7 linked regions of the Cricetulus griseus genome follow. The protein of the gene in region 6 purifies or fractionates together with the protein of the main gene of each other region. This does not show direct contact. Links are inferred from orthologs where the notes say so. Each region holds a gene or a part of one and is shown on either strand. Other genes may lie near its edges.

Region 1 (3,500 bases), on a different chromosome or scaffold from region 6:
CAGCTTTGGCTTCCATTGTGACTGAAATGAAGAGCCATGACAGGGACTTGAGCATAGAAATGACATGATAAAGACTTAATGCTTTGTCAATTAGCTTTCTAAAAATAAGTCTGTTTTGAAAGACAAAATTTAGCATCTCGTTGTAGATGGAAACTCAGTGTCATATGCCATAAATATAAAACAACCACTAAAATAAATTCAGAGAAAACAAAACAACGCTGTCAAAGTCTAGCCTTATGAACCTGGCTGCCCAGGACCCTGGGCTCCAGGCCTCTTCTCTCTTTGTTAAGGGAAAAGACAGTCTCAGAGTGATGTTAAAGACAGGCTCTGAGCCCTGCCCTTCGAAGTACTGAGAGGAACCTGTCATTTTTCACACTGTGACTCCTGGTGTCTGATGCTCCCCTGTAGTCCCTTGCCTAGGGGTTGGGGAGTGGGGGGACTCTGGAACATGTTCCCCTGAGGTCTTTTCCTACCACCCCACTTCCTTGCCCTGTACTCTGTTCAGTCCCTGTCCGTGTGCTGGAGCTGAGTGAGAGCCACCCTGCCAATGGGGAGCAGACAATCCGCTGTCGTGGTCGGGGCATGCCTCAGCCAAATGTCACGTGGTCTACTTGCCGAGACCTCAAAAGGTGAGCACACCTGAGCTCCAGCCTCCCAGAGTACCCACAGCTGCCTAGAATGACCCAGTGTAGGCTAACCTAGATCAACCTCTCCCCGCTGAGAGGCCCAGGCCACATCTTAGATCAGTCCTCTGCCTTCCTGAAGATACCATGCATAACCTAAATTGCTCCTTTTCTTACCCTGACCCTGAGCCATCCTCAACCCAGGAAGGTGCAGGGTTTGGCCCCCAGAGGGGTCTAATTCATCCAGTAGTTGTTCTATATCTCTGACCAGAGTTGAGTGTAGTAGATAGAGTTCAGGGTTTGCCTGACACACTGAGGGTCAAATGAGTGAATTTTGCCATTGAGGAGTCTCAGTTCTGGAGTAGGAGCTCCCCCTGCTGGTCCTTCTAGACAACACAGTAGGAACCTACTTAAGGACCAAGCAGTCATAGAAATTAAGACTTAGTTTCCCCAAATGCAGAGGGAGAACTAAGCGAGACTGTACGCCAATCTCCTTGTGTCTCCTGGCAGGTGTCCACGAAAGCTGTCACCCACACCCTTGGGGAACAGTTCCAAGGAGGAGAACCAGCTAGAGACTAATGTGACTTTCTGGGAAGAAGAACAGGAATATGAGGTGGTGAGCACACTGCGCCTGCGTCATGTGGATCAGCCATTGTCAGTACGCTGTATGCTGCAGAACTCAATGGGCAGAGATTCGCAGGAGGTCACCGTGGTACCACATTGTGAGTGCCCCAGCCTTGGGTGGCTCTGATGACCTCTCACTCCTTCCTTGATCCTGCTTTACCGTGCCTGCATGCCCAAAATGGATCAAGTGAGCATGCTCACAAGCCTATAGTAACATTACAAAACCCACCAGAGTATGTCCTTATGCACATACACAATATATGATGTGGACACCAGTGCACAAACATGAAAAGCATTGACTCAAGTGTGGAAAATGAACTGTTATGCATGATGCATGCTGTAAACTCTGAACATGAGTAGGCTGATCTTGGGACTCGGGTGTACACTCTTCATGTGCACATGCAATCTGTGCTGAGGATGCCTAATCCCCTGAGTACACTCGTGTTAGCATGTGCTCAAGCATGCACAACGCTGTCCATGTATATAAAACTGCAGGATATATTTTTGTGAGCTGTGTGTATAAGCCTGCCCAAACCCAAGACTTGCATGTAAATCTACAAAATGAATGTCTGTATGCATGTACAGGTGGGGAGCACAAACCCCCTACATGTGCATAAATCATGCATGCACAGTTCCTGTGCAAATGTGAACATTGGCATGGTTCATATTTGTACTCACACAATTGCAACATATAAAAACAAAAAAGCACTGAGCACAACTCTGTACACATACGCCTCCAGACAATGTACAAACATTAGCAGCTGCACATATATGTACAGTTATTGTGCAACATATGAACAGTGCTTGCCAGAGTCCAGATGTGTGTACATATCTCCCACTTACCCATGCCTTCACATGTATGCATGCTTCATCATCCACCTATTTCCTATTCAGTAAGTTATGGGGACCCAAACTCACTAGGGTACAGAGGCCAGTGGGTCAGTCCAGAGGGAGGAGGCAGACGAGGAGTGAGCCAGCCTACACTGGAACACTACTTCCAGGGAGCAGCCCTGAGACAGAAGGAGCCCTGTGCTAACCTTGGGATTGAGGAAATATCCCAGGAAAAAGAAGTTTTACATCAAATACCGAAAGATGACCAGGTGTTAGCCTGTGAAGGCATGGTGTCGCAGCCAAGGAGGCCTGTGCCAAAGCCTAGAGGTGGAGTGGGTTCTGAGAAGTTCAAGGAAACCAAACTGTCTGGAAGCAAACTATGTGGATTTGGGGCGGGGTGGGGGAGTAATAGGGAAGGAAGTGGTAAGGAGTGGGGCTATAGGATACAGAAGTCAGAGAAATCAGAGCTTCAAAAGACATTTTGTACATACACAGACACACACACACACACACACACACACACACACACACTCATACACACAGGCTGCCCCACACAGCCTTGTACATGTTTGTCTATGTACATACCTGTCACCTGCCCTTAGAAGATGAGTGAGCTTTTTAAATATCCTTACTGGGGCTGGAGAGACGCCTCAGAGCTTAAGTGAGCTTGCTTCTCTTCCAAAGGACCTGCGTTCCATTCCCAGCACCCATGTCAGGGGGCTCACGATCACCTGTAGCTCCAAATCCCATGGATTTAATGCTTTCTTCTGTCTTCCATCAGCATCCACACATGGCATTCAGGAATACAGTTGCACACATAAACACATACATAAAAATAAAATAAATATCTAAAATAAAATGCCCTCATTTCTCCCACACTCTCTTATAGGCACACATATCCCTGAGCAAGTGGGCACAACAAAATGTGCACAGCCTGCCATATAGAGACCCATTCTGGGCCTGAGTAAAGGCAGAATGAAAGTCATTGTGTGACATCTGGTCAGGACACCATGTACTATTACACAGAGACCTGGGATGACTCTGATGGGTCCCTGGAGGGTGCAGGCTCCCTTTGCAAGACCAGGATGTGGGGGCTGTTGTGAAGAGAGGACAAAGATGTCAGTCAGTGACCCTAAGAAGGAAAGAATGTGGAGTAAGCCAGAGGAAGACTCCCTGGGGAACAGAGGAGGGCAGGAAGAGGACATAGGAGGAAGACGAAAGTTCCCAGAAGACAGCAGCTATTGCTAATCGGGGAAGGACAGGGGCTGGGGCTTCATCCAGACTGACTGGGTAGCAGGGAGGCTGGAGCCTTGGGCCAGAGAAGACTCAGGGCTCAGGGAGCCCAGGGAGACCTGCATGTTCACCTCAGTGCCCTGGGCAGTGCCCTCTATGACTGCCCCACCAGACACACCAGCTGGTCCT
Region 2 (3,500 bases), on a different chromosome or scaffold from region 6:
TTTGGCCTAGTTTCCACATCCTAGGTGAAGAACCGGGCTTGTAATAGGCATTTAATACATTATAACAGTAGATGTATTACTACTACCAGAAGAAGGCTTGGTCTGTAAATTGCTTTCCACTCAAACAGAAGACCTGAGTGCAATCCTGAGTACTCATGTAAAAAGCCAGGCATGGCGTGTGCCTGTAATCCTAGAGTTGGGTGGGGTGTAGACAGGAGGATCCTTGTGGGGGTAGACAGAGGGATCCCTGAGGGGGGCAGACAGAGGGATCCCTGAGGGGGGCAGACAGAGGGATCCCTGGGAGGTGCAAACAGAGGGATCCCTGAGGGGTGCAAACAGAGGGATCCCTGGGGAGGGTAGACAGAGGGATCTCTGAGGGGTGCAAACAGAGGGATCCCTGGGGGCACAGACAGGAGGATCCCTGGGCGGGTAGACAGGATCCCTGGGGGTAGGTGGGTGGAGCAAATAGCCTAGTTGAATCATTGAGATCCAAGTTCAGTGAGAGAGCCAGCTCAAAAAATAAGGTGGATGGAGAGCAACTGACTGAGATGCCCCTCATTGGCCTGTGGCCTGCACATGCATCTACACACACACACACACACACACACACACACACACACACACACACACACACTCACACACACACACTCACACACACACTCACACACCACACACACACACACACACACACTCACACACACACACTCACACACACACACACACTCACACACACACACACACATTCACACACACACACTCACACACACACACACTCACACACACACACACACTCACACACACACACACACACACACACACTCACACACACACATACTCACTCAGACAATTAACAGGGTTTCACTATGTAGGCCTGGCTATCTTGGAACTCACTACATAGACCAGACTGTCCTCAAACTCACAGAGATCTGCTTGTCTCTGCTTCCCAAGAGCTGGGATGAAAGGTGTGTGCCATCACATCCAGATTTTTTCTGTTTGAACTGTTCTAGTTGGGAATCTAATTGCACCACCTTCGGAAGGGGATTGTAAACCATTGGGAACACCAATCTTACATTTTTAAAATACCCAGTAGTATGCCAGGCATCCACATTCCTAGTGATTACCTAGGGCATTGGACTGAGTGATCAGCCACAGTAACAGATAAGGGAGACTGGGCCATAATGAGGAACTGATCCTAACTGTACTTTCTCATTCTCCAAAGGCGTGCCCAGCCCCACTGTGACACTGGACAAAAAGGAGGTGACAGAAGGTGGAGTTGTGACTGTCAATTGTTCTGTGAAAGAAGAACTGCCACCGATATATTTTAAGATTGAAAAAGTAGAACTGGGTACAAAACTTGTGAAGCAAATAAGAGACAAGACTTCGAACCAGAATTTCGTGGTAATGGATTTCCCCATCGAGGAGCAGGACCACGTGCTAGTGTTCCGATGTCAAGCTGGGATCATGTCCGGGATCCAAATGCAGACCTCAGAATCCACCCGGAGTGAATACGTTACGGTGCAGGGTCAGAATCCTGCTCTCCTTACACTCTTTTTGTGTTTGTTTGTTTGTTTGTTTTTTGTTTTTCAAGACAGGGTTTCTCCATGTAACTTTGGAGCCTGTCCTGACACTCACTCTGTAGACCAGGCTGGCCTAGAGCACACAGAGATCTGCCTTCCTCTGTCTCCTGAATGCCGGGATTAAAGGTGTGTGCCACCCGGCACTTCAGAGGCAGAGGCAGGCAGATCTCTCTGAGTTTGAAGCTAGCCTGGTCTACAGAGTGAGTTCCATAACATCTTCCAAAGCCACAGAGAAACCCTGTCTCGAACCCCCCACCCTCAAAAAGAAAAAAAAAAAAAGTGTGCCCCACCGCTGTCCGGCTTCTGCTTACACTCTTGGTGCTGACAGGTTGCATGTAGCAAAAAGGAGCCCAGAATCAGGGAAGCTGAGACTCCCCCCCACCCCAACCCTCCCCCAAGTGTCTGCTCTCAGAATTTAAAACCTGGTACATAGACCATAATCCCAGCCCTGTGTAAGGCAAAGGCAGGAGGATCAGGAGTTCAAGACTAGCCCTCAACTGTGAGACTCTTTCTCCCCTAAGTCAAATAAATAAATAAAATTAATTAAAAAGAAATAAGTTAGAGAAAGGGAATCAGAGGCTGGGTTTACCAGTGCAGGCCTGTAATCCCACCCACTCAGGAGGCAGAAGCAGGAGGACTGAAGATTCAAGGCTGGCCTCAGCTACAGAACAAGTTCAAGGCCAGTCTGGGCAATTTAGTGAGACCCTCTCTCAAAATAAAAAATGAAAGAGAGAACTAGAGATATGGCTAAGTGGTAGAACATTTGACTAGCATTTAGGAGAACCTGAATCCATTCAAGGAGGGTGTAGTGGGAGGGGAGGAGCCAAAAGAGCCAAAAAGGACTAGGGAGATAGCTTGGTCAGTAAACGCAGGTAAAGCTGGGTATAGTGGTGCACACTTGTAATCCCAGCCCCGGGAGCCAGAGACACTCCATGGTTCTGACACACTGCATGGTTACTCAGCCTAAGCCTTCTTATCCAGCCCCAACCCAATTAGAGATCCTGTCTCAAAAAAAACCAAGGCAAATGGGGCTGGAAAGATGGCTCAATAGTCATGCACACTGACTGCTCTTCCAGAGGACCTGGGTTGGATTCCCAGGCCCCACACCCACATGACAGCTCACAACCATCTGTAACTCCAGTTCCAGGTATCTGATGCCCTCTTTTGGGCTTCATAGTCAGCAAGTATGCATGTGGTTCGTGTGTGTGTGTGTGTGTGTGTGTGTGTGTGTGTGTGTGTGTGTGTGTGTGTAAAGCAAAACAAAAGATATAGCAGTGTCTGAGAAGTGATATCTGAGGTGCACTTCTGCCCTTCACACACACGTATAATTCACTCCTGCCACTGACACACACACATACACACAGTTCCTCCCACACAAATATTAGAGTAGGAAATGTCCAGGTTTGAACTTGAGTCCAACTGGCTTATCTTCTACTTTCTTGTAGAGTCCTTCTCTACTCCCAAGTTTCTAATCCACCCTTCTGGAGTGATCATAGAAGGAGACCAGCTATACATTAAGTGCACAGTTCAAGTGACACACTTGGTCCGGGAATTTCCAGAAATTATAATCCAAAAGGACAAGACTATTGTGGCCACCTCCAAACGGAACATTGAGGCTCTCTACTCAGTCATGGCCACGGTGGAGAATAGTGGCCATTATACCTGCAAAGTGGAATCTAACCGCATCTCCAAGGTCAGCAGCATCATGGTCAACATAACAGGTAGGAATGCTGAGGGAGACGGCTGGCAATGGTGGGCTCAAGGGGCAATTGTGACCGGACGTAGTTCCACACGTCTATAATGCCAGCATTTGGGAGGCTGAGGCAGGAGGAGCATGAGCTCAAGGCTAACCTGGGCTATCTAGTAGTACTCTGTACTGCAATCCAAGGTGGACTATGTGTGTGTTTAGGCTGGGCACTGGGG
Region 3 (4,207 bases), on a different chromosome or scaffold from region 6:
GGAAGGCAACCACTGCTAAACAATGAAAGCACATTGGGGAAGATGGGCTGCATGCACGCACTAGGAAGGAAGGTGTGGGCGGTGGCGTCGGAGACCTTGGCCAGAGCCGGCAAAGAAAGGAGAGGAACATTTACAGAGCACGGAGTGGCCATTCTCTCCTGGTGGGCTCATCAGCCCAACTCGCTTCCAGAGGCGGCCTTGGAAAATGGCAAGGCTAGACGGACAGGCGAGGCCTGGACAGACAGCCCAGTGGGAAGGCAGGGCGGAGGTACTAGCGCAATTTGGTTCTGGCACCTGGAACTGGGCCAACCCGTGACTAGCATCTTCACGCAGCTGCCTAGAGCTCCCGCTAATCTGATAAGATGGAGATCTCCCTCTCCCTAGGTCCAAAGAGCTGCAGGAGGCAAGAGTGCTAGAAAAAGGGAAACCAGCTTGAGAAGCAGCTTGCAGTGCTCGCAAAGGGAGGGCGCACGGCCCCGTGCGCCTTGTCCGTGGGCCACCTCGGAGGCTGGGGGGTGGGGAGTGTCCCACCCATCAGTGTGGGGTCCCCGGTCTGTTCACAGAAAGGTGTCCGCAGTCACTCACCCCCGCAGATCACGTGCCCTGCGACCGATCCAGGTCAGCCATCCCTCTCTCTGGGCGCCATCCCGCGTTCCACCCCCGCCCCCCCCCGCAGCAATGTGGGGCTCCCAGGGCCGGGGTCGTCTAACCATAGCGCACAGTAGGAGCATTGGGGGGGGGGACACAGTTCGGCATTAAGAGCCGGGCAGTAGGTAGCGCCTAGCCGAGCGGCTGCCCCCGCCGCAGCGGGGGGAGGTGGAGCCTCGGGGGGAGGGGTTGAGACCGCCGAGACAGCCCTAGAAACTGCTGGAAGAAATCGCAGTACCGCCGGCGTTGCTCCTTCCGCCGCGCGCCGCCAAAGAGTCCCTGGCAGCCCAGGCCCGCGCCCCTCCCGCCCGAGCAGCTGCTCGCCGCCTGCAGCTGCGGCCCCGTTCCGGAGGGTGGGCATCGGGACCCCCTCCAGCTGGACAGCGAATGTCCCACTGTCCTGCTCTCTCCATGTAGGGAACACTCTGGGAGGTGGGCTCAGAGAACGGCAGCCGAGTTAGCCATCTCGGTGCTCTTGCGAGTCGGGGGTGGAGGCGCCTGCCTCGAGGTTTCTGGGGGAGTCGGCGGGATATCCGCGCGTGGACACATCCCTAGCAGCATAAGCGCACCCCGTGGCCCTCATCTTGCCATGGCCTTGTCCTGGTCGTGCAGGAGAGGCCTCGGCTCGCCGCACAGGCCCCGGGTCGCCCCCCCTCCCGCCCCCAGTTGCTACCATGACGTCAAGGTGGGCGGGCGGCGGCAGGTGCGGGCGGCGGCCCCGCCCCCTGAGGCGGAGGGATCCAAGGGCGGGGCCGAGCTGTGCTTCGCCTTATATAGGGCGGTCGGGGGCGTCTGGGAGCTCTCTTGAGTCACCCCCGCGCACACTAACCTCCGCGTGCGAGTCGGTCGCGCTCCGAGCCCACCCGGCCCTGTACTACTACTCGGCTTTCCTGTCAAGGTAAGGCCGCGGCCTCCGGCCCTGCGGCTTCCCGGGGCTCGTTCCCCGGGCTCTCCCCCCCCATTCGCATCCGTCCTAGAAGGTCCCCGCCCAGCCGGGCGGCCTGTGGGCTGGTGTACCCCGAGCTGCTTGCGTCTGGCCCCGCGGGGTGGCTCGGCGAGGCTCCTTGGGGCCCCGGGTTGGGGCCCCGGCGCGTGAGGTGGGGGCGCGGCCCAGCTGTGTGCAAGGCAGCCGCACGTGGTAGGCGCCGACCTGGGACGCTGCCATGTTTGCCCTCCACTTCCGGGCGCAGCTGCAGGGTCCGAAGGGGCCGCGCGGTGGCGGGCTCCGCGGCGTGACTCAGCACGGCCCTGTGAGGCTGGCCTGGCCGCCTCCTTTGGACGCCTTTCCCAACGTGGTTGGGGTTCTTGGGCGTGGGGGTCGTCCACGGGGTGGCAGGGACGCTTGAGCGCACTGCCATTTGCCTTTCCAGATCTTTCCTGCGCTCCGGGGAAGGAGGAGGAGGAACCCGGAGGGGGCTGGCACGGGAAGATCCATTGGTCCCTCCCCTACCCCTCCCCTACTCCTCCCCGCCCTGGAGCTCAGATTGTTCTGGAAGCTCCTGGTGCCCCGCCCCAGTGCCCGGATGCTGGGGCAGTGGGAGGGTTGCGGTGGCGCCCCCTCCCCGATGGCTGCCGCCGACGCGTGTCCGGCAGTGACGAGGGTCGCTGGAAGGCTCGGGCCACCATTTTACTTGTGTTCAGGGCTATGCAAGTCTGCGCAGTGAGAGAGGTCATGGTGGAGCTTTTACCTCTTTGTCCTGGTTTAATTGCTCCTTGAGTGCCTCCATGACTGCAGCCTCGGGTTCCCTGCTCCTGCTAGGATGGAGCGGCACATAGAAATGGCTGCTGTTTCTGTTAGTTTCTTTTTTGCCCAAATAAAGTTGTAAAGGGTTTCCTGTATATGTTCACCGGGTAGCTAACGAATTATCATTTCTTGAATTTTAACAAGGTATGTTGTCGGGTTGAGCCTGTTTGAGCTGTAGTATACCGTTTTGGCTGCGTTTGTTTGAAGAACCATCCATCCTTTGAGTTTTTTCCGTTTTCGGTTTACCAGCTTACTGTAGCTTTTCAAGGTCTTTTTAAAAATGGCGGTTCTCATCCCTTGGGAATGGATACTACTCAGCTTAAAGCATTTTGAATTGGAGTTTAAAGTGCATCCATCGTTTTAGTAATTAATGTGTAATGCTTTCTTAGATGCCTGAGGAGGTGCACCATGGCGAGGAAGAGGTGGAGACCTTTGCCTTCCAGGCAGAAATCGCCCAGCTCATGTCCTTGATCATAAATACTTTCTACTCAAACAAGGAGATTTTCCTTCGAGAATTGATCTCCAATGCTTCTGATGTGAGTATCACAGCTTCATAGAAGCCCAGTGAGGGATTGAGAGGAGTCTGCCGTGGGTTGAGAGCCAAGACAATGTTTGCAGAAATGGAATAATGTGGCTGTGTGTTTATTTACAGGCCTTGGACAAGATTCGCTATGAGAGCCTGACAGACCCTTCCAAATTGGACAGCGGCAAAGAGCTGAAGATTGACATCATCCCCAACCCTCAGGAGCGCACGCTGACTTTGGTGGACACGGGCATTGGCATGACCAAAGCTGATCTCATAAATAACTTGGGAACCATTGCTAAGTCTGGCACAAAGGCTTTCATGGAGGCTCTCCAGGTGTGTGGCCCTATATCCACAACATTCTCAATACTGCTTTTGACTTGTTAATTTTTCAGTACTTGTTTTCACTAGTGATATGGTAGGCTTTTAACCTATGGAGATCAGAGGATTACTGGCCAGTAGGTCCCAGGGATTGAACTACTTGATAGTTACACTTGAGTTCAGCAAGCACTTGTGCAGAACCATTTTACTTACCTCTTAACTTTTAAAATCCTTTGGCAGGCTGGTGCAGACATATCCATGATTGGGCAGTTTGGTGTTGGATTCTACTCTGCCTATCTCGTGGCAGAGAAAGTGGTTGTGATCACAAAGCACAATGATGACGAGCAGTATGCTTGGGAGTCCTCTGCTGGTGGATCCTTCACAGTGCGTGCAGACCATGGTAAGCTGCCTGTCCTCGTTTGGATGCTTGGTAGAATTCTCTGGAGGATAGAAAGTCCAAAGTCTTGATCATGCACTGTTTAATCTCAGCACTTTGGAGGCAGAGGCAGATGGATCTCTTGTTTTAGGACAGCCTGGGCTACATAGAAGCCCTGTGTCAAAATGGGGAGCAGGGGGTTGAGTATTTTGGTTGTAGTTTTTTTGTTTGTTTTTTTTTTCTTCATTGTGGTTTTTTGAGACAGGGTTTTTCCTGTGGCTTTGGAGGCTGTCCTGGAACTAGCTCTTGTAGACCAGGCTGGTCTTGAACTCAGAGATCCTCCTGCCAGGATTAAAGGCGTGCACCACCCCACCGCCCAGCTTAGTTGTAGTTTTCTATGTCTTGATTCTATCATTCACTTTTTTATAGGTGAGCCCATTGGCCGGGGTACCAAAGTCATCCTTCATCTCAAAGAAGACCAGACAGAGTACTTAGAGGAGAGGAGGGTCAAGGAAGTGGTGAAGAAACACTCGCAGTTCATAGGCTATCCCATCACCCTCTATGTGAGTATGGACTTGGCAGTATTTGAGCAGTC
Region 4 (4,013 bases), on a different chromosome or scaffold from region 6:
ACAACTTCTCGTCCAGCCATACAGCAGGAGCCAGGGGTAGGTGCACCCACCCTAGTGACAGGTAGTCAGGGCTGCTAGGAGAGGGCATGACCTCAAAGGCCCTTGCTTCCCTTTTCTCTGCATGGGAATGGAGCTACAGACAGGGCCGCCAGCAAGGATCAGAGCTCGAGCCCCTGGTGTGTAGGAAGTTGAGTTCCTTAGATTTGGTATCTTGTCTCTTTGAAATCACAGCAGTCCCTCCTGCAGGCTTGGTGTCTGGGACTTAAGGAGTCTGAGGAGTCTTGTGATCCTGCCCTTTCCTGCTTTATCACTCAGGGCAGGTACTGCTAGCCTCCAAGCCTACTTTCCTCAGCTCCAAAGACAACAGTTTGGCCTTTTAGGTCACCAGAAGGGGCACTTGTTTGTGACCACGCGTGTAGATGCCTTTAGTGGTTCCTAGTAGATGGTGATCAGTGCAGTGCAGCCACTGCCCCTCGATTGCCACTCACGAGGGCCCAGGAAGCAGGTCACTAGATGCTGAGAGTGAGCAGGTCAGTGAGCAGTGCAGGAAGGAGGGAGGGTGTGGTGAGCGGGGCTGGACTGTACCCAGGCCGTGGCACTGTGGAAGGTCCCAAGATGGGAGGCTATGGCAGGAAGGTCAGTACCTCCAACTCCTGTCCCTCTAGCTGTCCCTTCCTGTCGAGAACCTGAGCCTCTTGTCGGCTACTGCATGCCAGGGTAATGGCAGCTTGTGTTGGAGATCTGACCCACCCCCCATTAAAAGCGGAGTCATGGGGCCCTGGAGTTTCTAGGGCTGGGCTGCTTGCCAGGCTTTGGCAGAGCAGTCTTACTCCCAGCTTGTTGAGGGGGTGGCTGCTGCCGAGCTGGCTTCATGCCAGCCCCCTACCTCTCTGCATACCTTACCCACAGCCTGGGGCCTCAGGAGGAGCTTAGAGCATGGAATTCCGCTCCTACCTGGAGCACAGGTGCTCCCTAAGGCCACCCCCTGTCTTTAGACTTGGGCTGAGGCTCTTAGAAGTCCAGAGAGGACCTGGCTCTATCTACCCAGCCCCTCCCTGTGCTGTGACATGACGTAGGACTCCTCCCACCCAGCTCTCCCAGTTGCCCTCAGGAATCAGAGTTCTAAGCAGGCATTTCTTGCTTACACCAGGCAGCAGCAGCCTAGCCTTGTCAGGAGGAATGCAGAGCCAGGCATCTAACCCCTGAGGGAGGAGAGGACGGGCAGCCGATGTGGAAACTCCAGGTCTCTTCTCCCATCGAAGCAGCAGGTGTCTGCCAGACAGGATCTCTTCAAGTTCAGGAAGGCAGGACACTGCCCCTGGGAAGTGCCCAATAGGGCCAACTCTCACCAGTGGACGTCTTCTCTTTGCAGACGCCCTGCTGGCAGACTTGGAATCAACCACCTCCCACATCTCCAAACGGCCAGTGTTCTTGTCAGAGGAGCCCCCTTACTCCTACCCAACTGGAAACCATACCTATCAGGAGACTGCAGTGCCACCCCCTGTTCCACCACCCCCATCCAGCGAGGCCCTCAATGGCACGATCCTTGACCCCTTAGACCAGTGGCAGCCTAGTGGTTCCCGATACACTCACCAGCAGGTAAGGTGGGGTCTGCGGAGCCCTTGGGGGCTGAGTGGTAAAAGGAGCTGATCTGCCGAGGAGATGGAAAGCCATTGGGGATGGACTGGGATTCTGGGCTCCTAGTCATACACTGCCCTTCTCACCCACCATGTGAGGGGCCAGTGACCAAGTATTAATCACCTGACTAGCTGTGGAAATTCCCTGGTGAGACAAGCTATGAGCAGGAGCTGCCTGGGGGTGGCCTGAGTAAAGTACTCTTTCTTCTGCAGCCTCCATCCCCGTCACCTGTGTACAGCTCCAGTGCTAAGACTTCCGGTGCCTCTAACCCTCAGGACAGCGCTCTCTGTTCCCGAGCAGGCGAGGAAGAACACGTCTACAGGTACAGAACCAGCACTGTACATCAGCCCGGCTTCTGGGAAACCCTAGGGCCACTGGTGGAACTATAGAAGGCCTGAAGGCCCCTGCCAGGCCCTGTGCTTGTCAGCTGGCTCCCCTCTGCCCTGTCACTGCCTTCTCTGTAGAGACAGCATCTCTGTAGTTGAGAAACTGAAGCAAAATTTCCTTCCTCCTTGCCTTACCACATTCCTTCCCTACCCTCCGCCTTCTTGCTGAAGAGACTTGGTAACATTCCACCCCTCCGGCCTTGAGAATCTGGGGCCTGCCACATCCAGTGCAGGGCAGAAGAGTCTTACTTGTTTCCTCTCCTTCTCAAAGCTTCCCCAACAAACACAAGTCCGCAGAGCCTTCACCTACCATGATGAGCTCCTCCCTGGGCAACAACCTCTCGGAGCTTGACCGTCTGTTACTAGAACTGAACGCTGTGCAGCACAACCCTTCAGGCTTCCCTGCAGGTGTGAGCGGGTCTCTGGACTACTCATGGGCCTTTGGGTTCCTAGAGGACTCAGGGATGAGCAACCATTTTGTTTCCTTATCTCCAAGATGAAGCCAACTCAAGCCCCCCACTACCTGGAGCCTTGAGCCCCCTTTATGGTGTCCCAGAGAGTAACAGTACCCTGGGAGGAAAAACTGGGCCCCTGATGAAAGAGAAGCCAAAGCGAAATGGAGGCCGGGGCCTGGAGGATGTGCGGCCCAGCGTGGAGAGCCTCTTGGATGAACTGGAGAGTTCTGTGCCTAGCCCTGTGTGAGTATCCATTAGGGTCTCCCCAGGCTGGGGAAGCTCTTGAAGTCTCACCCCGACTGTCTTCGGGCTGTGTGGTACCTGTCCATCAGCCCTGAAGTCACCTGCTCCCTACAGTGTCTGCTACTTGCCAGGTCCTGGGGATATGGCATGACCCGGCAAAGCCAGGGTTAGCACAGGTTTGCTGATGTGGCACAGGGTTTAGATCATGGCTGTGCCAGCTACAACAGTCTTACTCTCGCTCTATAAGTTGGAATAAGCCAAAGTAGGGCATGGTGACACATGGTTATAATCCCAGCATTTGGGAGGTCGAGGTTTGGAGATCTCAGGTGCAAGACCAATCTGGGCTATATAAGTGAGTTCCAAGACAGTCTGAACTGCATGAGACCATAGCGCAAAAATACGACATAAACTATAAAATAGGTAAAGCAGACAGTAATAATGGAGATGACCCTACATAGTAAATAGAGTGAGACCAAATAGTATATAATAGTATATAATGTTGGGGGGGGTGGGGGCTGGCTCGTAGCTGTGGCAATCACAGCTATTAGGGAAGCCCCTAATAGCGTCAGGTCTTGTTTATTTTGAGGTAGGGTTTCACTCTATATCCCAGACTCTTCTGAAACTCACTATGTAGTAGCCCTCCTGCCTCAGCTTCCCAAGTGCTGGGTTACAGGGATGAGCCACCATGTGTCAGTGTTTATTGATGTGTAATAATCTCGCATGTGTATAGTGTTGAGAGGCTTTGTAGTGGTGCCCCTGTCTTCCTGTAGGGGTACTGTGAACCACCTACCTTCTCTGGTCACCTCACCTCAGCACTGTTTCTTAGCTAGTCACTCTTTCCCAGGGATGGGGATCCCTAAGGTGCTGCTGGGTTCTGGTGGCCTTCCCTGGAGTTGGAGGTGTCGTTGATCTGGAGCCCCCCCCGTGGAGCCTGGGGCTGACCCTTGGGCTCCTTACTGACTCCATGCCTGCCCCACAGCCCGGCTATCACTGTGAACCAAGGTGAGATGAGCAGCCCACAGCGAGTCACCTCCAGCCAGCAGCAGACACGCATCTCGGCCTCCTCTGCTACCAGGGAGCTGGACGAGCTCATGGCTTCACTGTCGGATTTTAAGGTGCCCTCTGATTCTCTCTGTCTTCCCTGCTCCCATCCATTACCCTTCCTCAGTATGACTAGCAGCTCCTCGGGGCCCTGGAGGAGAGAGGCTAGGTAATATTCAAGACTGAGCTCCTTAGCAGCTTGTGAAGGCAGAGAAACCAGAGATGCCTTTAGCTGGAACATTCCTCCCTC
Region 5 (3,500 bases), on a different chromosome or scaffold from region 6:
AATGTTCTGGTACTTGATAGCCAAGACTTGCCTCAAATTCACCAGAATCCTATTTCAGCTTCCTGAGTACTAGGATTGTGTGTGTGCAGCCAGGGCTAGTTGGTCTTCTGTGTGCCACCACTGCCCGGCTGGATTCAAGTTGTTGAGGGCAAGTATTTTCTTAGTCAGATCCAGAGATGGTACCTTGAATCTCTTGTAGCCAAGCAGAGAAGGGTATAACCCTTAAGTTGGCCCTTGTTTGAGGCATTTAGGTTTTATAAATAGTACAAAAACTGGTGGGTTTTTCCCACTGAGAACCTGTGTCTAGTTGTCTAAAAACTATCGATTCTGCTGACAAGGATTAGAGTAGTGCTTTAAATGCCATTGGTAGGCCTTGAGTCTAGCCTTTTCTCTCTTCCAGAGAGGAACAAGCGAGGGAACTCTATAGAAGACTGAGGGAGAGGCCTAGAGGTAGGTGGTTTTGGCCTTGGCCCTATTTTGTCTTGTCTTTGAGATAACACTGCCCCTCCCTTCCCCCTACCCCCTTACCCTCCCCACCCCCCAGAGGCCAGGAGGAAGAGCTATGCCACTGTTCTCTGCAGACCAGAGGACAGACGGTGACAGTCAGGAAATGGTTCGGCTGCTACTTCAGGCAATCCAAAGCTTTGAGAAGAAAGTGCGCGTAATTTATACACAGCTCAGGTAGGTGCTCTGCTCCTGCTCCAGGACAAGATGTGGGATTATAGCAAAACTGAGGGTCAGATGGGTGCTCTTGCTCTGAATTGCCTATACAGTGAAGAAACAATCTGTGGTTGCTGATAGGATCCAGAATAGTGCCCACCCAGAGCTCACGGGTGTGTGGCTCATTTGTCCTTTACAGTAAAACCGTGGTCTGTAAGCAGAAGGCACTGGAGTTGCTGCCCCAGGTAGAAGACGTGGTGAGCCGTATGAATGAGGATGAGAAGACTGTGGTCCGCCTTCAGGAGAAGCGGCAGAAGGAGCTCTGGAACCTCCTGAAGATTGCCTGTGTGAGTGGACCTTTGCTCCAGCCTCTCAGGTCCCCATGTTGGTGTTGTGTGTGTTGTCCCTTCCATCTATCTCCCCTCCCTGACCCATGCTCCTCAGCGCTGCTCGACTGGCACTTATTTGTGACATGGAGTGGGCAGGAAGATTCCTGAAGGGAAAGTTTATGTGAGGTGTTACTTACCCATGTGACTACTATAATTACCACAAGTAGAGGGGCTCCAAACAGCAGACATTGTTCTTTCAGAGCTAAGAATCCAGCTGGCACCCTTAATCCCAGCACTGGGGAGGCAGAGGCAGGCGGGTCTCTAAGTTCAAGGACAGCCAGGGCTACACAGAGAAACCCTGTCTCAAAAAAAAAAAAAAAAAAAAAAACAGAGAGCAGAGAGACACCCCCACCCTCCCAGCTTTAGTGGCTCAAGCCTTGTCATCTGTATCTGTGTCTTCAGGTGACATCAGTGTTTCTCATCTGAAGGACTCTTACAAGAACGCATTTAGAGTTTAGGGGTGAAGCTCAGCAGAGCCATGTTTGCCTCATGCATAAGGCCCCAGGTTCAGTCCCTAGCAACATGCATGCATACAGTCATGCAGGCATGCACACACAGATACAGGGGCCCAGTCTTACTTTTTACATGCAGATATCTGGCTCTCCCAGCACCATTTGTTGAAGAGACTGCCTTCCTCCCATGACTATTTTTGGCGTCTTTGTCAAATCAGATTTCTGTGCCTGGGTGGATTTCTGCCTGGGTGCTCTGTCTGCCCTATTGGTCCGTGGGTCTATTTTTTTTTTTTTTTTAAGATTTTATTTATTATGTGTGCAGTGTTCTGCCCGCATGTATCCTTGCAGGCCATGTGGTTGCTGGGAATTGAACTCAGGACCTCTGGAAGGGCAGCCAGTGCTCTTAACCTCTGAGCCATCTCTCCAGCCCGCCGTGGGTCTATTTTTGTGCCATTCTGCTAGTGTTACTGTGCTGCTTCACCTGTATAACTTGAAATTAAGGTGGTGGTAGCTCCAGCATTGGTTATTTTGCTTAGGATTTTTCCTGCTAATTAGAGTTCTTTGTATATGAAGTTTGAGGTTTTTTTTTTTTTTTTTTTTTTTTTTCTATTTCTCTTCTTGGAAGTTTGACGGGGGATTGCATTTAATATGTAGTTGATTTTGGTAGTGTAGCTATTTTCAAAATTGTCTACCAAACTGTGAGCATGGAGGGGTCTTTCCTTTTTTTTTTAAGTTTCTTCAATTTATTTAAGATATTTCATTTCCTGGATTATTCCAAGATATGAGCTTGCTTGTTCTCTCTCTGTCTCTGTCTCTGTCTCTCTCTGTCTGTCTCTGTCTCTGTCTCTGTCTCTCTCTCTCTCTCTCTCTCTCACACACACACACACACACACACACACTTGTGAACATGTACACACTATCATAACACAGCTATGGTATACTACTCAGGGAAAAAAAGTATAACAAAACAAAGAAAAAGAAGGGAAAGAGCCGAGTAATAGCGCACCTTAGAACACAGGGACCTGTTGTTGAAAAGAGACCAAGGAGAAAGAGAAGCTGGCCAAAGAAAAGTTCAGTCATTAGTAGCTTCAAGAGCAAAGAGAGAACCTAGCGTGGAGGTGCACACCTGTGATCCCAGAACCTGAGAGTGTGGAGTAGGAAGTTCAAGGCTAGTTTGACAAGATAGTACGACCCCACCTCAGATAACAAAACAACCCAAAAGGGCAAAGAAGAGGAGGTGGCTTATTTTGGAAGCAAGATACAAAATAGTGCTTCATAAAAAGCCTTTTTTAAATGTTTATTTCATGTTCCTCAGTGTTTTATGTATGTTTTGTATGTTTGTTTGAGGGTGTCAGAAGCCCTGGAATTGGAGTCAGACAGTTGTGAGCTACTGTGAAGATGCTGGGAGTTGAACCCGGGGCCTTTGGAAGAGCAGCTTCTGAGCCCTCTCTCCAGTCTCCTTGTAAAGGTTTTTGACTGGAGTGTCTCTATAGGCCAAGGGAGGAGATGGTGTCCTGGGAGATTCATAGCAGCAGGGCATTGTCACTCCTGAGAACTGAAGGAGTCAGAATCAGGAGCGTCCCTGGCAGATTTGCCTGGGGATGGGAGCTGGAGGATATAGCCTCCTGTAAGAAGGTAGGGAAAGGGGGAAATCTGAGATAACACAATGATGCCCTGCTCTGCCACCTGCATTCATGGAGTGTCCAGCAGTGGTGTGAAAGTGGGGGTACGTGGTGAACTGAGGATGGCATCCACTATAATCTAGTGAGAATTGCAGATGAGGACTTGAAAGAGAACACTAGACTGAGTAAAGAAGTGTAAAGCACATGTGCACACCAACTAAGGAGAGGCCAGAGGCTCAACTGGAATTTGCTCTGTAGACCAGGCTGGCCTCGAGCTCAGATCCTCGTGCCTGTGCCTTCCAAGTGCCGGGATTAAAGGCATGTGCCACCACTGCCCAGATCCTTCCTGTTCTTTTAGATTTATTTTCTGCAAGAGC
Region 6 (4,239 bases):
AAACTCCATAATGAAACCATTGTGCTGGCCATTTCCTCTGAGAGCCCTGGCTGTTACTGTGACCTCAGAGCTAGAGGTAGTTCCAGGTGTGAGGCCGCATAGACAGTTCAAACCTACCTCACCTCTCTCTCCTCTCATGCCAATTCTGAGGATGAGTTGTCCTTACCCATTTTGCAGGTTTTTGGTGTACTGAGCTCAGAAAAATGGCGTGTTCTTGGTCATTTATATATTTGCAAAGAGGTAGAGTTGAGGCCTCAACCCAAGCCCATGGGTCCAAAGTTTGTACTTTGAAGCTTTCCATCGTCTTAGGTTTGGAAACGCCCAATGTCCAGATCTTTCTGTTGAACTTCCAGCAATGGATGTAGTGATACGCTGGCAAATATTTAACAAGCAACTCTCTGGAAGAAAAAGCTAAGGTATGGTTTGTCAAATTTCTCCATTTCCAAGTAGAACATACTTCCTTGGAGGCCGATGCCAGGTGACCAGTCTGACATCACTGAATATGGCCCTGAGAAGGAGGACAGCGGTCCTAAGTGTTTGCAAGCCTCTGAGAACCAGCTCCAGCACCTTACAGGAAGAGTAGCCACCCTTCCCCCAGCCCAGTGTGGCCAGTGAAGGCCATTAGACAAGTCTTTGGCGGGGAAGAGGGCGGAGAAACCTGCTCCTCCAGCCAGGGCCTGCCCAAGGGAGTCCTGGGAAACTGCCGTTAAACTTTAAGCAAGTCTTGCAAACAGGAGTGGCTACTTTGCCTGCTGTTCATGAGGATCCTGAGCAGCCCCGTTCTCTCTTCTGGCTCAGTGGGCTACCCTGGCCACACTTGCACTCAGCAGTGCGGCCTTCAGATCCCAGTCCTGTCCACTCCTACCTACTTCACAACGGGAGGAGGCTGGAACAGGAAACTGATGACTGAACAAACCCTGAGGCACCTGGCCTAGATGTGAACTTAGATCAGCCTGACTCAAAGCTTTGCTCCTTCCTGGCCTGCTGGGACATACATTGTACCCTGAGGCTGGAGCCTCTTATGTTCTGGGAGGATGGGAACCTGCCCTTCAGGAGGGGTCTCCACCAGGAGAAAGCTCAGGCCTGGTGCCACATTAACCTGGTTGGGTCTCAGTTGGCCACCTGTGAGATGGGAGCACTTTCAAGGAAGGAGGATGGAGGCAGATGGTCGGATTCATCTTTCTAGAGGGGAACGGAGGAGTCAGAGGTGGACCCCCTCCCTGGCCCAAGGGGCAGCCCTAGAACCTGGACAGGGACTGGCGTTTGTGAGGGGTGGTCTTTGAGACCAACCTGAAACCACATCCCGCCCCCTTATCCCATTTTCCTTCTCTACTTCCTGTTTGGCTGATCCTGCTGTCCTCAGTGGCTGACTACCTGCATACTTCCCAGCAGATGTACGTGGTCTCTGCATGCGCTGAAAATGAATTTAGGGCTGGCCTGATGCTTGCAGTCCCTGCCCTCCATAGGCAGAAGCTGGAGCCTCCCACAAGTTCAAGGCCAGCCTGTGTCACATAGTGAGCCACTGTTTCGCCTCTTGATACATTTTAATAAAGCTGCCTCTCTCCTCCTCACTCTGCCCCTCTGGTCCCAGTCTCTGGTTAAAGACAATCAGGTCAAAGCTGGTGTGGCCAGTTGCCTCAGTTTCCGTGTCTGGAAGATAGTGCTAGCCATCGGTGCGTAGCTCAGGTAGCTAGGTTGGTCCGGGGCGAGAGGGCGCCCCCGCGGGTGGAGCTGCGGGGAGGGGGCTGGGTGCGGGAGGCGCGGGGCCCGGCTCGCACAGCAGGTCCCCCGGGTCGCCGGCGGGGCCCGGGTCCGCGCTTCCTTCTTTCTCCGGCTCGCATCGGCCGCGGCCCCTCCTCCCGCGCGCTCCCTCCCCCTCGCCGCTGCCGCCGCCGCCGCCGCCTCCTCCCTTTCTCTAGGTCTGTCTCTCCCGGCCCGGAATCCACCCGGCCGCCCCGCCGGAGCGGCCAGGCCGCCGCCCGCCAGCGCTGCGCGCCCCGCTGGGGTCCGCCCGGGCGCGTCCGGAGCCCGCGGCCGCGCCGCAGGTGAGCGCCCCCGCCCCGCCAGCCCCGCGCCCCGCTGCGGGCTCCCGCCCTGCCCACTCCCCGCCGCGGCCCGCGACCTGCCCGGCGCGGCCTTTTGTTGGGATGCGCGGGGGAGGCCGGGCGGGGCGCGGGGGGCACCGGCGCGTGGGGACCCTCGGCCGCAGAGTCCCCAGCCCGGCTAGGCCACATCTGAAAACCCGGCCGATCGGCGCCGCCCGCGATCGCGGCTGCGGGGCCCTGCGCCCCCGGCCCGGAGTGGGGGTTGGGGGTGGGGTGGGCGCTGGGGACTGGGCTCCCTGGTGGCCACGCGACCTCCTTGGGTCTCCGGGCCTCGGTTAGGGCCTGGTGCTGTTGGCCTGGCGGAGACTGGGCCACTCTGTCCTCCCCTCACCCCCGCCAGCCCCCAGCCTCGCCCCTCCTCGGGCCCAGCGACCTGCCGGCTCCGAAGTTGGCAAAAGTTTTGGTGTTTCAGTACCACTACTAGGTCCACTTGCCCACCCGGGCAGGTACTGGAGGTGAGTTTGTGTCCCCACTAGAACCACCACTTGTCATGCTGTGTGTCTTGGAGACAACTGCCTTAGCTCTCTGAGCCAAGGCCCTTCTCAGTGATGGGTAGACGGCCAGGACTGCTAGGCTGGTTGAAGAGTGGAGTGGACAGAGGGGACTTTTCCCTGGGTAACCCCTAAACCTCTAAGGTATTCAGAGGGAGAAAAGTGGACAGAGACGTGTGAGGCTTATGAGGCCCTAAACAAGGTCTTCCCTGACTCACAAACTGTGTGAGCAATGGTGATGGGTTCACCTGGGTGGAAGTCAGATTCAGTTTCCAAGGTGGGCATGGGGGCGGGGCGCGTGCGGGGGTGGGGCGGGGCGGGCGGGGATGGGGCTCTTTCCAGACTTTTGAGTCCAAGCATCAAAGTCTCTTGTTTTCCTGGGTGATCTGAGCTGGGGGCTGCTCCTTGGATCCTTCACAGCAGTGACAGGGTCCTCAGGTGATTACTCCCTGTGCTTCTGGCAGCTAAGGAGTTGGCATGCATGGGGTGGGGTGTCAATAAATGAGTTCCACCCTGGAGCCTGCACAAGATGACTGGGGTGCTTGTGGCACAGCTGCCTGCAGGAGAGGGTAACTGTGTCTCGAAGGGTGCCCTAGAGCCTCAATATCCGAGCACCCTCCTGTGGCCCACAGCTGTGTGAATATAGTCAGCTCTGGGTTCCTTTTGCCTCAGTCTTGTCAGAAAGGAATGATCAATCAGATTGTGAAGGCACTCAGTGGTAGAGCACAGGCTTCGCATGCCCAAGGCCCTGGTGCTAGCCTTGGCACTACAGGACGGACAGATAAATCAGGTGGAGCCATGATGATCAGAGCTGTTGAGGTTCACTGAACTCCTCCTGGGGCTAGCTCAGTCTGCAGCTGGAACTGGAACTTAGACTTCAGAGGAGCTGGCTGGCTGCCCTTTAACCTGCAGTGACAGTGAAGGCTGTATAGTTTGGGGTCAGGAACAAGGCATTGTTGGAAAAAGACTCCTCCCATATCACCCCCACCTGGCAGAGCCATAAGGCCCTGCTGGAGATGGGGTGTGTCCCGGTGAGGTGGCCTTTCCACAAGGGGAAGTGACTTATAGTGTGTCACCTCTCAGCTGACTGCTTGTATCCTGGGGTACACACTGAGAATGAGTGTTAGGGGCACGCCCCATCTCATGTTCATCCTTGTTCTTCCAGCCTTAGGGCAACCCTATCTCTCCCACCCAATCCTCTTCTGTTTCCTGTCGTGTCCCTTTCCCCAGCCCCCCACCAGCCTCCAGCTTATAGGCTGCCTCCTGCTTGGGCTTTTACCCCATTCTCATCTGACAGTAGGGGTGGGAATGGAGCATGTCTGGGTCCTCTAAGTCCCAGGATCTAAGGAGGACTGGCTAAATGGTTTTTGTCCCTGTTATCCACCTGGTCCTCGGCTGTCTTTGATCGTACATTGAGCACTTACTATGCACTAGGGCCTGTGAACTTTGTTGAGCAGCTTTGTGGTAGGAGGACGACAGCTTCCTGAAGGAGGAGCTTGAGCTGGAGCAAGCAGTGGCCAGCTAGCCAAGAGTGCAGCTGGACCAGTGTTCTTCCCCTCTGCTCAGAAGGTCATCTGCCTGGGGACTTGCTGGGAAATTGTGAACAGGTCCTTGGCTTCTAGAAACTGGAGTAAGGCGGATAA
Region 7 (2,868 bases), on a different chromosome or scaffold from region 6:
GCCTGTGTCAGCCACTCAAATATTGGGATTACATGCGCTTGCATAAAAACCTGTTATGAGTTACCTTTAAGGAAGATGCTATTCTTTCTTGTGGCCATAATCCTGGTCACTCACCTTTTTCCCTAGGTATGGAACTTGGCTAACTGCAAGCTGAAGACCAACCACATTGGCCACACTGGCTATCTGAACACAGTGACAGTCTCTCCAGATGGATCCCTCTGTGCTTCTGGAGGCAAGGTATTTAGGGGACCTCTGATCTTTATTTATGGAGAACACTTTCATCTGATAGCATGTACCAGTTAAAAGATGAGCTTAAAATGTGGGAATGTTTCTAAGGATTATCATAAAATATATAGAAAGGCATACCAAAGAAATTTTCCTTTAAAACTAAGTTGGTAGCTGAATAGATGGCTCTGGGATTAAGAGCACTGACTGTTCTCCCAGAGGTCCTGAGTTCAATTCCTAACAACTACATGGTGGCTCAAGACCATCTAATAAGATCTAGTGTCCTCTTCTGGATTAGGGCTACACACAGGCAAAACACACTGTATACATAAATAAAAGTAAGTTGATATACGTATTATACATTACAGGGAAGGTCTTAGGACCATGAACGCTGACACTTCAACCATTAGCTTTATCTATCCTAACTCACCATTTATGTCCGTCCAGGATGGCCAGGCTATGCTGTGGGATCTCAATGAAGGCAAGCACCTTTACACACTAGATGGTGGGGACATCATCAATGCCTTGTGCTTCAGCCCCAACCGCTACTGGCTCTGTGCTGCCACAGGCCCCAGTATCAAGATTTGGGTAAGTGATCTGTTGTGCACCACATTGATTTCAAGCTTTATTGGTAGATTCATCATTCAGCTGCTGTCAGTTGACAAGTTGGGATTATTTTTTCTTAACACTTAGCAGCACTGGGCAACATTTGACTAATAAAAGGGAATGCCCATATTTGGCAATTTGTTGAGTCATTTGGGCCAAAGTAATTCTCCTTTGAGAGGCTATTTTGTCAGCATATGTGGTATCTACTCACTAGATGACCATTAACAGTTACAGCCACACACCATGAAAGATAAGCAAAAATAATCCCAGTAGTGTGTAGCAGGTAGTAGAGCACTTAGCTAATGCATGAGAGGCATAAATCAAATCCCTACCACATGTGCCACTAGTATCAACTAAAAGACTGGGGATTCTATGTGGTATTTTTATGTTTTGGACAGTGTGTAACCCAGGCTGACCTTACATTTATGAGGAGTCATCTTGACTAAGTTACATGGTCAGATCTAGAACTTGGCAGTCTGCCTCAGCCTTCCAAGTAGCTCCAATTGTATAACTAAACCACTGGCCCTCTAAATGATTGTGGGTTGCTAGGGTGGGGGTTGATATTTCATATGTCCTTGAAAGAAAAAATAATCTGGAAATCTGAATTAGAAATAGGCTTTCCAAGTAGTTCATTACTGTCTGTGGTACAGGATAACTGGCCCATAGCCAGGGAATTCTGTCTCCTCCATAGTTTGAGGAATAAACTGTTTTAGGTGTCAAGCAAAGGCCCTTTAATTTGCCATCTTAAGGTCTCCATTTAAAAAAAAAAAAGCTATGGTATGACAACATACTACAGACCATAAAAGTCCATTGCATAATTGTTATGGGCATCCTTACCTGATTTTGGTTTGTTTTCAGGATTTGGAGGGCAAGATCATTGTAGATGAATTGAAGCAGGAAGTTATCAGCACCAGCAGCAAGGCAGAGCCACCCCAGTGTACCTCCCTGGCATGGTCTGCTGATGGCCAGGTAAGTACTTGATTCTGCCAACTCAGCTTCCAGCTTACTCTTCATATCACGGGCATAAGACTAATATATTAGCAGGGCAGTGGTGGCGCACACCTTTAATCCCAGCACTCGTGAGGCAGAGGCAGGAGGATCTCTGTGAGTTCAAGGCCAGCCTGGTCTACAGAGCTAGTTCCAGGACAGCCTCCAAAGCCATAGAGAAACCCTGTCTCGAAAAAAAACAAACAAACAAAAAGACTATTATATTAACAAATGAAATGATAAAGGGTGACTAGTTACAGAAAATACTATAATCTATCTGGGGAATGATTCATGATTTGGACCTCTAGAAGAGGCTTCAAAAGTATAGCAAGCTGTTTCTTCTGGGAATGTGTGCTGAGCATGTCTTAGACAAGTTCTTTGTTTGGGGGCCATACAATTCATTGTTGGGCATGACCCTGTTGCCATTCTCTTTTACAGACTCTGTTTGCCGGTTACACAGACAACCTGGTTCGAGTGTGGCAAGTGACTATTGGCACCCGCTAAAAGTTTATGACAGAGTCTTAGAAATAAAGTGGCTTTCTGAAATCTTTTCAGTTATGGTTTGTCTAGTGAGCAAGTTCCTAACTTGCCCGCCTACCCACCCTTCTCCCATTTGTTGTGTTTTGCTTGCATACATGTCTATGCCAGGGAATATTAGGGTGATGGGAAACTTTGGGACATTCAACATGGCACTGTCTGTCCTAAACTCAGGCCCACCTATGTTTGCCTTCCTCAATGGTGTATCTATCCTTCTTGGTTGCACTTCATTCTAGCAATAGCAGCAGAATAGTTTTTTCCAAGGCAGGGTTTCTCTGCCCAGTTTGAATTTAGCCCCATCTACTTGGATCTACGTATAACATTTAGTCCTTACTAAGTAAGCTACATGAATAAGGACCTCCCATTCCTCACTGAAACAGGAAACCCTAGGAATGCATAAAGAACCAGAAATTCAGGGTTGATTGTATGCTCCTGACAGCTAAGAAGCAGTTCCAGGGCTTCTATGGGAAAGTACTTCATGAAGCAAAATTGCTGCTTCAAAAGAAAGACTCC

What was found.
Region 1: the proteins of Src (region 6) and Pdgfrb purify together in Homo sapiens (affinity purification with western blotting; 4 studies listed by BioGRID and IntAct, with this or other methods). This does not show direct contact. The link is inferred for Cricetulus griseus from reciprocal best matches to the Homo sapiens genes SRC and PDGFRB.
Region 2: the proteins of Src (region 6) and Pecam1 purify together in Homo sapiens (affinity purification with western blotting; 3 studies listed by BioGRID and IntAct, with this or other methods). This does not show direct contact. The link is inferred for Cricetulus griseus from reciprocal best matches to the Homo sapiens genes SRC and PECAM1.
Region 3: the proteins of Src (region 6) and heat shock protein HSP 90-beta purify together in Homo sapiens (affinity purification with mass spectrometry; 3 studies listed by BioGRID and IntAct, with this or other methods). This does not show direct contact. The link is inferred for Cricetulus griseus from reciprocal best matches to the Homo sapiens genes SRC and HSP90AB1.
Region 4: the proteins of Src (region 6) and Pxn purify together in Homo sapiens (co-immunoprecipitation; 4 studies listed by BioGRID and IntAct, with this or other methods). This does not show direct contact. The link is inferred for Cricetulus griseus from reciprocal best matches to the Homo sapiens genes SRC and PXN.
Region 5: the proteins of Src (region 6) and Ikbkb purify together in Homo sapiens (affinity purification with western blotting; 3 studies listed by BioGRID and IntAct, with this or other methods). This does not show direct contact. The link is inferred for Cricetulus griseus from reciprocal best matches to the Homo sapiens genes SRC and IKBKB.
Region 7: the proteins of Src (region 6) and Rack1 purify together in Homo sapiens (affinity purification with western blotting; 4 studies listed by BioGRID, with this or other methods). This does not show direct contact. The link is inferred for Cricetulus griseus from reciprocal best matches to the Homo sapiens genes SRC and RACK1.

Annotation. Positions count from the first base shown.
Region 1 is NC_048595.1:178,033,331-178,036,830, reverse strand, and holds part of Pdgfrb (platelet-derived growth factor receptor beta), read left to right. Parts: intron 1-505; coding exon 506-629; intron 630-1,133; coding exon 1,134-1,345; intron 1,346-3,500. UniProt on the Homo sapiens protein: Tyrosine-protein kinase that acts as a cell-surface receptor for homodimeric PDGFB and PDGFD and for heterodimers formed by PDGFA and PDGFB, and plays an essential role in the regulation of embryonic development, cell proliferation, survival, differentiation, chemotaxis and migration.
Region 2 is NC_048600.1:119,634,657-119,638,156, reverse strand, and holds part of Pecam1 (platelet endothelial cell adhesion molecule), read left to right. Parts: intron 1-1,219; coding exon 1,220-1,522; intron 1,523-3,022; coding exon 3,023-3,298; intron 3,299-3,500. UniProt on the Homo sapiens protein: Cell adhesion molecule which is required for leukocyte transendothelial migration (TEM) under most inflammatory conditions.
Region 3 is NW_023276807.1:31,888,691-31,892,897, reverse strand, and holds the start of heat shock protein HSP 90-beta, read left to right. Parts: upstream 1-1,407; 5' UTR 1,408-1,546; intron 1,547-2,781; coding exon 2,782-2,928; intron 2,929-3,044; coding exon 3,045-3,251; intron 3,252-3,476; coding exon 3,477-3,636; intron 3,637-4,041; coding exon 4,042-4,175; intron 4,176-4,207. UniProt on the Homo sapiens protein: Molecular chaperone that promotes the maturation, structural maintenance and proper regulation of specific target proteins involved for instance in cell cycle control and signal transduction. Undergoes a functional cycle linked to its ATPase activity.
Region 4 is NC_048597.1:95,638,564-95,642,576, forward strand, and holds the start of Pxn (paxillin), read left to right. Parts: upstream 1-1,213; 5' UTR 1,214-1,228; coding exon 1,229-1,268; intron 1,269-1,372; coding exon 1,373-1,599; intron 1,600-1,850; coding exon 1,851-1,960; intron 1,961-2,295; coding exon 2,296-2,432; intron 2,433-2,520; coding exon 2,521-2,722; intron 2,723-3,701; coding exon 3,702-3,837; intron 3,838-4,013. UniProt on the Homo sapiens protein: Cytoskeletal protein involved in actin-membrane attachment at sites of cell adhesion to the extracellular matrix (focal adhesion). Recruits other proteins such as TRIM15 to focal adhesion.
Region 5 is NW_023276807.1:61,028,470-61,031,969, forward strand, and holds part of Ikbkb (inhibitor of nuclear factor kappa-B kinase subunit beta), read left to right. Parts: intron 1-400; coding exon 401-450; intron 451-581; coding exon 582-681; intron 682-859; coding exon 860-1,007; intron 1,008-3,500.
Region 6 is NC_048599.1:22,117,671-22,121,909, reverse strand, and holds the start of Src (proto-oncogene tyrosine-protein kinase Src), read left to right. Parts: upstream 1-1,439; 5' UTR 1,440-1,673; intron 1,674-2,430; exon of another isoform or gene 2,431-2,560; intron 2,561-4,239. UniProt on the Homo sapiens protein: Non-receptor protein tyrosine kinase which is activated following engagement of many different classes of cellular receptors including immune response receptors, integrins and other adhesion receptors, receptor protein tyrosine kinases, G protein-coupled receptors as well as cytokine receptors.
Region 7 is NC_048600.1:63,461,552-63,464,419, forward strand, and holds the end of Rack1 (receptor of activated protein C kinase 1), read left to right. Parts: intron 1-126; coding exon 127-237; intron 238-672; coding exon 673-813; intron 814-1,689; coding exon 1,690-1,800; intron 1,801-2,256; coding exon 2,257-2,322; 3' UTR 2,323-2,368; downstream 2,369-2,868. UniProt on the Homo sapiens protein: Scaffolding protein involved in the recruitment, assembly and/or regulation of a variety of signaling molecules. Interacts with a wide variety of proteins and plays a role in many cellular processes.